Linked DNA regions of Macaca fascicularis. Each later gene encodes a partner of the first gene's protein in a complex. Links are inferred from orthologs where the notes say so. Each region holds a gene or a part of one and is shown on either strand. Other genes may lie near its edges. The genes, in order: CUL1, CCNF and CAND2.

The links.
Region 2: CUL1 (region 1) and CCNF share a complex: the UniProt entries of both Homo sapiens proteins name them as parts of the SCF(CCNF) complex. The link is inferred for Macaca fascicularis from reciprocal best matches to the Homo sapiens genes CUL1 and CCNF.
Region 3: the proteins of CUL1 (region 1) and CAND2 are in contact, whole or in part, in a cryo-EM structure (PDB 8VVY), measured with the Homo sapiens proteins. The link is inferred for Macaca fascicularis from reciprocal best matches to the Homo sapiens genes CUL1 and CAND2. Residues at the interface, in NP_001357589.1 of Homo sapiens: Val31, Thr33, Arg34, Gln35, Met37, Lys39, Tyr42, Met111, Asp112, Trp123, Arg127, Phe128, Val132, Asn181, Leu184, Glu188, Gly193, Glu194, Thr195, Asn197, Thr198, Arg199, Ser202, Gln206, Val209, Glu210, Gly212, Leu213, Asn214, Lys221; in NP_001155971.1 of Homo sapiens: Asp21, Phe22, Phe24, Met25, Asn61, Gly62, Glu63, Gln65, Asn66, Leu67, Glu100, Gln101, Asp104, Asp156, Asp160, Leu189, Ala190, Lys193, Arg194, Glu276, Gln280, Asp343, Asp344, Trp349, Lys350, Arg353, Glu389, Ser492, Ser493, Thr494.

What each region holds. Positions count from the first base shown.
Region 1 is NC_088377.1:190,410,919-190,414,566, forward strand, and holds part of CUL1 (cullin-1), read left to right. Parts: intron 1-774; coding exon 775-942; intron 943-3,129; coding exon 3,130-3,180; intron 3,181-3,379; coding exon 3,380-3,470; intron 3,471-3,648. UniProt on the Homo sapiens protein: Core component of multiple cullin-RING-based SCF (SKP1-CUL1-F-box protein) E3 ubiquitin-protein ligase complexes, which mediate the ubiquitination of proteins involved in cell cycle progression, signal transduction and transcription.
Region 2 is NC_088394.1:3,216,476-3,220,123, forward strand, and holds part of CCNF (cyclin-F), read left to right. Parts: intron 1-113; coding exon 114-278; intron 279-3,648. UniProt on the Homo sapiens protein: Substrate recognition component of a SCF (SKP1-CUL1-F-box protein) E3 ubiquitin-protein ligase complex which mediates the ubiquitination and subsequent proteasomal degradation of target proteins.
Region 3 is NC_088376.1:151,116,509-151,120,156, reverse strand, and holds part of CAND2 (cullin-associated NEDD8-dissociated protein 2), read right to left. Parts: coding exon 2,704-3,648; intron 498-2,703; coding exon 402-497; intron 1-401.

The DNA.
Region 1 (3,648 bases):
CACATTATTTTTACAGATTACCACAAAAAAGTGTTTTGATGGTTTAAGAAGGAAGAAGATACATTTAAAAATTGAATAGTATTAGCCTCGTTGTCTGAATTGCTGAGTAGGACATGTTGATTTGATTTCTTTTTTGCGGGGGAGGGGGGGCGGCAGAGTCTTGCTCTGTTGCCCAGGCTAGAGTGCAGTGGTAGGATCTTGGCTCACTGCAGCCTCCGTCTCCTGGGTTCAAGCGAGTTCCCTGCCTCAGCCTCCCGAATAGCTGGGACTACAGGCATGCACCATCACGGCCAGCTAACTTTTGTATTTTTAGTAGAGACAGAGTTTCACCATGTTGGCCAGGCTGGTCTTGAACTCCTGACCTCAAGTGATCTGCCCACCTTGGCCTCCCAAAGTGCTAGGATTACAGGTGTGAGCCACTGTACCTGGCCAATTTCTTTTTTAAACAAAATATTAAAAATACAGATGATTTTGAGGTAAATTTCTTAATAAAAAGGAATTACCTGCATATCAAATGTTCAGGGTACTTTTTTTGAGTGTTTGTGGATATTTAATACCATGAAAAATGTTCCTGTTTAATTTGAGATGAAAGAATTGTTTTTACTATATTCTTGTGAGTTTATTAGCATGTTTTTGTATACAGAATAATTTAAAGAAGCCATCTAAAATCACATGTATCAATGTATTTTAATACAGTAGATGTTACTCACTTTTATTTTTAATTTATAATGTGACAAATTAGTCATCTTAAAGCTTTAGTTAACTTGTTTTTAGGATGGAGAAGATTTGATGGATGAGAGTGTACTGAAATTCTACACTCAACAATGGGAAGATTATCGATTTTCAAGCAAAGTACTGAATGGAATTTGTGCCTACCTCAATAGACATTGGGTTCGCCGTGAATGTGACGAAGGACGAAAAGGAATATATGAAATCTATTCAGTAAGAGTTTTGTTTTAAATGTGTTTTTTTAAAATGATAAATTGTCTTTTAGTAAGAGAATCTAGGCAAATATTAAGCTTTTTTCAGAGTAGTAAACTAATTTTCATTGTTTTATCAATAAATGTCCCTTAAATATTTTTTAGCAAGAAAGTAGAGGAATGGGTAAATTGGAGTTCTAAAATACAATTTGTCCATTTCTGCATTTGCTTTTTAAAAATTTCTTCTTTAATTACCTGACCCTACCATCACAATTGGCATGGAACTGCCTGAGTTTTCTCACTGAAAGTCCTGAGTCGTGGCAGTCCCAGGCAAATCAGGTGCCATACCTGAGGGCGAGCCCTGAGGATTAGCCCTCCCATGCTTTATAGTCTGGGAAACCCTGCTTCAGGGAGAGGACCCTGAATTAATTACTAAATCACTCTCATTAATATATGTTGCTTCAGTCAGCAAAAGGGGTTTTTTTGTCCATTGGCTTTCAAAGTATGGTCCCATATTTGTCTGTTTTCATAACTTCTGATAAACTGCGTGAGACTGGGTAATTTATAAAGAAAAGTTTAATGGGCTCAACAGTTCCACGTGGCTGGGAAGGCCTCATAATCATGGCAGAAGGCACATCTTACATGGTGGCAGGCAAGACAGAATGAGAGCCAAGCGAAAGCAGAAACCCTTATAAAACCATCATATCTCGTGAGACTTATTCACTACCATGAGAACAGTGTGGGGGAACCACCCCCATGATTCAGCTCTCTCCCACTGAGTGCCTCCCGCAACATGTGGGAATTATGGGAGCTATAGTTCAAGGTGAGATTTGGCTGGGGGCATAGCCAAACCGTATCACGTCCCCAAACCTGCTCTGTCAGCATCACCTGGGGACTTGTTAGAAATGCACATTCTTAGGCCTCATCCTAGACTTAAGGAGAAACTCTGGAGATGGGGCCCAGCAATGTTTTACCAAGCTCTCCAGACAATTCTGATGCATGCTCCAGTTTGAGGACCAGTGTTCTAGAGCAATTAAGGGAGGACTCAGAAGCTCTCCAGACAATTCTGATGCATGCTCCAGTTTGAGAACCAGTGTTCTAGAGCAATTAAGGGAGGACTCAGAACAGTCTGTTCGTGATCAACACAGGCAATGCCCTTTAAAACTAGTTTTGTTAAAATGTCAGATTCTACATAAAGAAGTTAATCACCATATCCAAGAATGTTGCTATAATAGCAATACTTTGTAGCTTCACTTTTGACAAATTTAAAAGAAAAACATAATGCTGGTTGCAGTGGCTCATGCTTGTAATCCTAGCACGTTGGGAGACCGAGACAGGAGACCAGCCTGGGCAGCATAATGAGACGTACAAAAAAATGTATCCAGGCATGGTGAGGCACCTATAGTCCCAGCCACACATGAGGCTGAGGTAGGAGGATCGCTTGAGCCCAGGAGGTGGAGGGTGCAGTTAGCCATGATCGTACCACTGGACAGAGTGAGATCCTGTCTAAAGAAAAAAAAGAAAAGAAAGAAAAGCATAATGTATCCCGGATGCATGACTTGTTTTTATTGTTTGTGTAACTCCAGTTTCTATACCAAAATTGTTAATTGGTTCATAATGATACTTTGCTATGTAGTTAGTCTGGTTCTAACAAAACTTTCTAGGTTTAGTTGTTTGATTTGGGGTTTTTGTGCTTCCCCTTTAACATTTTGTTTATTTTTTTAACTGACAAAAATGTGTACACCATGCCTTTTTGAAATATGTGTGTATTGTGGAATAGCTAATGGGATTTTTTTTCTTTTTCACATATAAATGCTTTCTTGAGACTCCAAAGTTGTTAGTATAGGAATCAGGATGATCTTGGTTCATTTGCTTTTGGAAACCTGCTTGGCCTAAATGTGTACCCTACAGTCACATCACAGACTCCTAAAAATAATTACGGTTTTTAAACTTTTCCTATACTGTTTTCAACAACAGTTAAAGAAAATATAAATAAAGAAGTTGAGCTGACAAATGTCTGTGCTTGGATACCTCTTGAAGTTGTTGACTCTAGAGAGTGGCTTTCTGATTTCGTCATGATAGCAGATTTTGACCAACTTGTAATCTAGAAATTTTGATGAAGTAATTTGAGATTTAGATTATTTCCTACGACTTCAATCTTGGAAAAACATAGTAAAAGTATAGATATTTTGTACTTTTTTTTCTCCAGCTTGCATTGGTGACTTGGAGAGACTGTCTGTTCAGGCCACTGAATAAACAGGTACCTACTGGTGTAAGCGTGTGCGTGTGCGTGTTCCTTTTAAAATCCCTTCACAGTTTCGTTGCTTAGCCTTTGTCTGCTCACTCCTTTGGATTATCCCATCTTACATTGTTTAATGGCTGTGAATGTTTAAGGGATATGTAGTAATATCTATCATATTCTATAACCTGTGTAATATTTTTCTACATCCTTTCTAAAGGTAACAAATGCTGTTTTAAAGCTGATTGAAAAGGAAAGGAATGGTGAAACCATCAATACAAGATTGATTAGTGGAGTTGTACAGTCTTACGGTAAATAATTTCCCTTTAGTTTATTCAAAGTTTCCACATCAAATGGCAATTATGACAATGCTCTAACAGATTTCACTTTAAAATATTTTCATATTATAAAGGACATTGTTAGCATTTACGAAGGTACTTCTCTTTCTTTTTAAGTCAGTGTGACTTTGTTTTTATCCATCATAAAAGC
Region 2 (3,648 bases), on another chromosome or scaffold:
GATTCCAGAGCTAGCCAGGTTATTTGGTCGGGCCCAACAGGTGGAGTTGAAATTGCAGACAGGGACGCATGGAGAATGCCTGCCCTAGTTCCCACGCGCTGCTCTTTCCGCAGGTACATTCTGATCGACTGGCTGGTGGAAGTTGCCACCATGAAGGACTTCACAAGCCTGTGTCTGCACCTGACCGTGGAGTGTGTGGACCGGTACCTGCGGAGGAGGCTGGTGCCGCGGTACAGGCTCCAGCTGCTGGGCATCGCCTGCATGGTCATCTGCACCCGGTGAGAAGCCCCCTCGGCCCAGCTGGCAGGGACGTCCTGGCCTGTCCTGGGTTCAGGGTCACCTGCCCTTCACGTGCTCCTCACTGGTTTGTTTTTTTTTTTGGAAACCAATTCTCGCTCTGTCACCCAGGCTGGAGTGCACTGGTGCGATCTCGGCTCGCCGTAACCTCCACCTCCCAGGTTCAAGCGATTCTTCTGCCTCAGCCTCCAGAGTAGCTGGGACTGCAGGCGTGCACCACCATGCCCGCCTAATTTTTTTGTATTTTTAGTAGAGATAGGGTTTCACCATGTTGGTCAGGCTGGTCTCAAACTCTTGATTTCAAATTATCTACCCGCCTCGGCCTCCCAAAGTGCTGGGATTACAGGCATGAGCCACTGCACCTGGCCCTTACTGGTTCTTGACTCATGAGCCGTGAGTGTCCCACCTGGTCAGACGTGGAGTGCCATACTGAGGGCCTCTGCAGGCAGGGGTGATGGAACAGCCTTCAGCGTGTGGGGGCCACTGTGTGGGGTGCCTGCATCCAGGCAATTTGTCCTGGTGTGCAGTCTCAGGACCCAGAGTGTGGCCTCACTCTGGCAGGCACAGGCTGAACCGCCCTGTCCCCTGGCTCCTGAGGGCGGCAGGATGACTGACTGGGGAGGGTGGCAGTCGGCTGCCCTTCTCTGAAGTCAGGTTCTAAAGTCTGTTGCCAGAGTTTCCTACACTATTGGAGTTAGAGGGTTTTTCGTCCCCCACTGGTGCCCTGCAGAGCCCACTCCAACCACATGGGTGTCTCTCAGCAGCAGGGTGCGTCCTTACACGGCAGTCTGTCCCTTTCACATCAGACCACTGCTTTCCTTTAACTAATGCAGGATCCCCTAGTTCCGCCTTTGGGAATAACGTGGAAATGATTCTCACAATACGTTTTGCATTTCCTAAACCAGCTGTCCCCAGCATGGTCTACATTTCCCAAGGAAGTGCTTTCCAGACCAACTCCTCTGTAGAGCCTGGTGGGTGAGGATAGGCTTGGCTGCACACAGCATATGTGTAAGCTACAGAGACTTGTTTCTCTCTTGCACAGGTAACCCAGAGGCAGAGGGTCCGGGCTCAGGTCATTGGGATGTTTTTTGTTTCACGAGGAAGCAGAGGAACCCCATCTCCCATGTTAATCTCTGCCACCAGCTAGGGTGCTGCCCTTGTCCCTGTGACACCTGTACCTGCCACATTTACCTTTGCACTGAGCTTAGTCTTGTGGCCACATCTCACCAGATGGGAACTGGGAGGTGCAGTCTCTTTGGGCCTGCGTGTGCCGGCTCAATGCAGTGTCATTCCCACGGAAGGAGGGAGCAACCCCTGCCACAAGCATCCAGAGCTGTCTTCAGATGTGCTCTTGGGCCTGAATCCAGCATCCCAGGTCTTCCTACCAGAGACAGCTGAGGAGGTTGGGTGGCCGCCTCCCTGGATCTGACCACATATCCATCACCGCAACCTACGACCAAGCTCCTGGGCCACAAACCGGCTGGCAGTGAGAGAATAACCACTAAAAACGTTTCAGGGAGCTGAGTCCAATTTCTTCCCCAACCACAAGACCTGATTGCGGTGGTCCATATAATTATCATCACAGCTCCCTCAAATCAATTCTGCCTTATCTTTTTTTTTTCAAGCTGGGGGACCAGGCACGGTGGCTCACACCTGTAATCCCAGCACTTTGGGAGGCCAGTGTGGGCAGATCATGAGGTCAGGAGTTCAAGACCAGCCTGGCCAACATGGTGAAACCCCGTCTCTACTAAAGATACAAAAAATTGGCCGGGCGCGGTGGCTCAAGCCTGTAATCCCAGCACTTTGGGAGGCCGAGACGGGCGGATCACGAGGTCAGGAGATCGAGACCATCCTGGCTAACATGGTGAAACCCCGTCTCTATTAAGAAATACAAAAAACTGGCCGGGCGCGGTGGCTCAAGCCTGTAATCCCAGCACTTTGGGAGGCCGAGACGGGCGGATCACGAGGTCGGGAGATCAAGACCATCCTGGCTAACACGGTGAAACCCCGTCTCTACTAAAAAAAATACAAAAAACTAGCCGGGCGAGGTGGCGGGCGCCTGTAGTCCCAGCTACTCGGGAGGCTGAGGCAGGAGAATGGCGTGAACCCGGGAGGCGGAGCTTGCAGTGAGCTAAGATCCGGCCACTGCACTCCAGCCTGGGCGACAGAGCGAGACTCCGTCTCAAAAAAAAAAAAAAAAAGATACAAAAAATTAGCTGGGCGTGGTGGTGGGCGCCTGTAATCCTAGCTACTCAGGAGGCTGAGGCAGGAGAATCACTTGAACCCGGGAGGCAGAGGTTGCAGTGAACCAAGATCGCACCATTGCACTCCAGCCTGGGCAATGGGGCAAGACTCTGTCTCTAAATAAATAAATAAATAAATAAGCAAGCTGGACGTGGTGGTGGGCGCCTGTAGTCCCATCTACTTGGGAGGCTGAGACATGAAAATCGCTTGAACCCGGGAGGCGTAGGTTGCAGTGAGCCGAGATCACGCCACTGCACTAATCCAGCCTGGGTGACAGAGGGAAACTCTGTCTCAAAAAAAAAAAGGTTTTAAAGGCTGAGCTGCCCGCCACCTCTGCTCTCAGAAGTGCCCTGCCCCAACCAGCCACCTCACACCCTACGCTGGGCTCCCTGTTGGCTACTGACATCTCATCTTTTTGGCGTCTGCAGTCCCTGCGCTGGCAGGTGTAGTCCCCGTGCCTCTTGTCCTCTTGGTCAAGTGAATGACACATGCAACCTGCAGAATCCCCAGGACGGAGCAGCCAAGAGACTTGGCCTCAGTCCAACGGGAAGGTGCTTTGCAGGGGCCACTGGAGCAGCGTGTTCCCTGATAGTTGGCGCTGGTAGACAGCAGAGAACAGGGTGACCCCTGCCTGGGGACAGTCAGGATTCCAGTCAGGATTCCTGTGGCCACACAGTACCGGGCACAGATTTTCCAACAACCCTTGGGCCCTTTGCCTCCAATTCCTAGATCTGGTGGCTTACCCACCTTCTGAGTCTAAAACATTTCCACCCCACTGATAGAGCTGTCACGTGACGGGCAAATCTCTGTCTTTGGTGTCTTTTAGCAAACTGAATGCTGGTGGCACTTGGGCCTTTTGCAGACATTTGTGAGTCTGCCTAACAGCCCTGCTGCTTTCTGTCTGCCTTGTGGCTCTCATCCTTCTTTCCAGCACTTTCTGACCTCCCCCCTATTGTTACGATGATGATTATTTTTTGAGACAGGGTCTTGCTCTGTCACGCAGGTTGGAATGCAGTGGTATAATCATAGCTCACTGCATCCTCAACTTCCTGGGCTTAAGCAATCCTCCCACCTCAGCCTCCCAAGTAACTGAGACTATAGGCACAT
Region 3 (3,648 bases), on another chromosome or scaffold:
TAGGGCCCATAAAAGCTAAGGTATGTGAGAGGCTGGTGGTTTTCCATTCCCAAGAGTCTATATGTTTATGAAGCATCTTCTCCCTCAGTTGCCCATGGGCCTCCAGGACAACTCTAGAAGATGCAGATAGTAAGAGTTTCTCACGTTCATTTGACAGATGAGGAAAGCAAGGCTTTGAGGTGTGATGGACATGCCAGGCCCACCCATGATTTAGTGGCAGTAGGGAGGCAGGGATGTGAACCCAGGCCTTTTAACTGGAGGGCCAGGCCCTGCTGCCCATCATGGGCATGCCTCCCAGGTCTCCCACTGCCCTTAGCTATCAGGTAGGAAATATCAGCCCAAGCTTAAGGACTGGGTGGGGGCACTGAACAAGGTAGGGGAGGCAGGAGGGAGGTGCTCACCGATGAAGCTCTTCAGGAGGGGGTCAATGGGATGGGGCTGGTCCGAGATGAGGAACTTGACCGCTGTGATGACAGTGCTCCGGGTGTGTGGCCGACCTGCAGAACAAGAGGAGGTGGAGGTGAGTTAGTAAGGGGCAGGGGCCAAACCTGGATGCTTACAGGTCAGAAGGTGCAGAGGCTCCTCCCCTTGCTTCCCTGGAAGACAGAACTGTACCCCCTCCCCATCTCTGGGAAAGTGGATTCTACCATTTCCCTTGGCAGCCTTGACTCTCCCCTCAATCCTTCATGCTGTAGCTGAAACAGTAGGACTGCCAGTGCTTAGGTAACCACACCACAGGTTGCAAACAGGGAACCGATAACCAAGACAGGAACTGCTCTGACAAAGACCTTCCCTCAGGCCTTGGGATTTTTCAGACATGTTATCTCAATTAGTCCTAACAATGATCCTATTAATTAATAATGATAAAATAGTATTAAAATCACCAATAAAAATCATCTCTTTGACACATGAGAAAAGAGACTCAGAGAGGATAAGTTCGTGTCTAAGGCCGCACAGCAGATCCAGAATTCCTGGCTGGGCCCTTCCTCCTGGGCCTGCATTCTGGCTGGTGGTCAGGGGGGCCTAACAGAACTCGGATCATCTCCAGGCTCGGTCGCGGAGAGCTCGCTTACTTGTGCTCTGCTGCTTGCTTTCTGAGTAGAGAAGCCGAATAAAGAGGGGGAGGGCATTCCCTTAATGAAAGAAACAAATGGGTGGATGCTCCACCTGCCTGAATCTCTCCTCAGTGGCTTGCCCCGCTTGCCCCCCACCCAACCCCCAGCACACTGCAGCGAGTGGGCTAAGGTGCTTCCACCACACAGGCTTTACGTTCAGCCTCGAGGAAAAGTTTACCAATTGGTGCTAAGGCATGAATGAATGGAAGAGTTACTGAACTCAGACTTTTAGCTTTTACCTCTTTCTCTTGCCAGCCTGACTGGCTCCCAGGAAGATTTAGGGTGGCTGATGAAGACAGGCACAAGAGAGTTAGATTAAGTGAACTGAAAACAAGAACAAGGCCAAGGACGACTGAAGGCAGAGAGGTGAGAAGGAGACTAGAAGGAAGACGTACAGAGAGCATCAGTTAGGAAGTTCCAGGAACCTACTAGAAGCAGGCCACTCATCTGGCTCTAAGCTTCCCAGCAGTTGGTGGTAAAAAGGAAATGTGACCAGGTGGCTGGTTCAACAGAATACGTGGGACAGAAACAAATAGGTGTTTAGGCAAAGCAGGGCTCCTCTGCATCTTAAGACTCTCGTCTGTCAAGGTTCTTTGTGTGATGTAACAGACAGTGTCCTCGACAATGTTCTTCCATCTAGTCATGAGGCCAGACAACTGCTTCTTATGAACCCAGCAACCCAAGAAGGCCTTAACTGAAATCACTAACATACCTAGTAACAGCAGCAGCTCTCAACTTACTCAGTATTAATTACTGTAGGTACCACACAGTGTACCAAACACTGTACCTGCGTTCTGTCAACCAGAGCACCCACTGGTTCCATAAGGGGCCAGCTGGCCAGCTTGAAGCCCACTGGCCTTTCATTCTGGGGACTCTCCCTTTCCTAGGAGCCCCACGACCCCACCTGCCTGCCTTCCACCTCCTGAAGCTAAGATACCTGGTGTGCCAAAACATGACAAACCAAAACGCCTGCCCCTCCTGGTTCTTGCCCAGCCCTCCCCAAGCCTCAGGGGCATGTCAGCCTGTTCCAGTCCATACTGACATCTGCTCATGGCTCAGGCTAGCTGAAAAGAGCTGACCCTCTGCAGGTTGCAGTCTATGCTACTCAGAAAACTGTTTTTGTTGACCTCTGTGTGGAGCACTAAGCTACTGTCCACATCGAGGATTATGAAGTTGGCATCATGAGTTTTTTTTTTTTTTTTTTGTAGAGGCGGGGTCTCATCATGTTACCCAGGCTGGTCTCAAACTCCTAGGCTCAAGTGATCCACCCACTTTAGCCTCCCAAAGTGCTGGGATTACAGACATGTGCCACCATGCCTAGCCTACATCATGAGATTTTTAAGTGTATTTGTTGTAGGGACCTATCAAGGACTCTGTCCCTTCTATCCCACAGTCCCATAGAAGGGAGCCTTTAAGTCTCAGGTATCACTGTGTGTTCCTCTGTAGCTTCCTTGCCTCTGTCGCATAGATACCATGATTCTTGTACCCAACGACTTGAAATAGCTCACTCTGCCCCAGCTGCTTGGATGCTCAGTGACAAACTGCCCACCTCCGCGCTGGGTTGCCTTGCCCACACCTGTGTGCCTACCTGCAGCAAGCTGCTTCCGGAAGCGGGGCAGAAGGAACGAAGGGTTCACAAGGACCAGCTTCCCAATGCACTCAGCCACCACCCCCCGGGTGCCCTCCTCAGCGCCCTCGCAGCGCCGGAACAGCAGGGCCCAGACGTCCTCAGCGTAGGGCTTCAGGCTGTCAGGCTGGGCGGCCCCCAGGGCCTCCCTAAGTGAGTGCAGCAGCAGGTACTGTCGTCGGGGCTCAGCCTCGATCTGCTCCAGCAGGAAGGGCAGGAAGTCGGGCAGGCTGCCAGCACCCACACGGCCCAGTGCATACGAGGCCGCAGCCCTCACATCCTCACTGGGTGACCCCAAGGCTTCCAGGAGCACTGCCTTCAGCTCCCGCTGGGGGCCTGGCCCAGCCACCTGACCCACCTCAGCCAGCGACAGGAATGCCAGGACTTTGACCCCCATGCTGGAGTGGGGCGACCTGGCATCGCAGACCAGACGGTTGGCTGTGCTTGCCGCCTCTTGGGGACAGGCAGCTGAGAGGGCTGCCACACACCGGGCCAATGAGTGGAACACCTGCTTGTGCAGGCCAGGCCCACCATCCACAGCCTGCTCATAAACAGGAGCAGTGAGCAGGCTGATGAGTTTAGCATAGTCCACACACGGGGGACGGGTCCCCACCAGGGCCTGCAGGAAGCCTTCAGCGGCTGCCAGAACCCCGGCTGGCAACAGAGGCGAACGCAGCAGCCGCAGCAGCTCTGAGAGCACAGGGCCACTGACCTCTACCAAAGAGGCTGGCTGGGCCTGGGTCACTGTGGCAAGGAAGTCCACAGCCAGCTGGGCCACGTGCATGTCACTCTCGTTGACCAGGGCAGGCAGCTCAGCCAGCACAGCCTGCACGGCAGACGGTGGGAGGCTGAGGCCCTGGCTCTGGGCCAGGGCATCCAGGGCTGCCAGTGTGGCCAGTCGCAAAG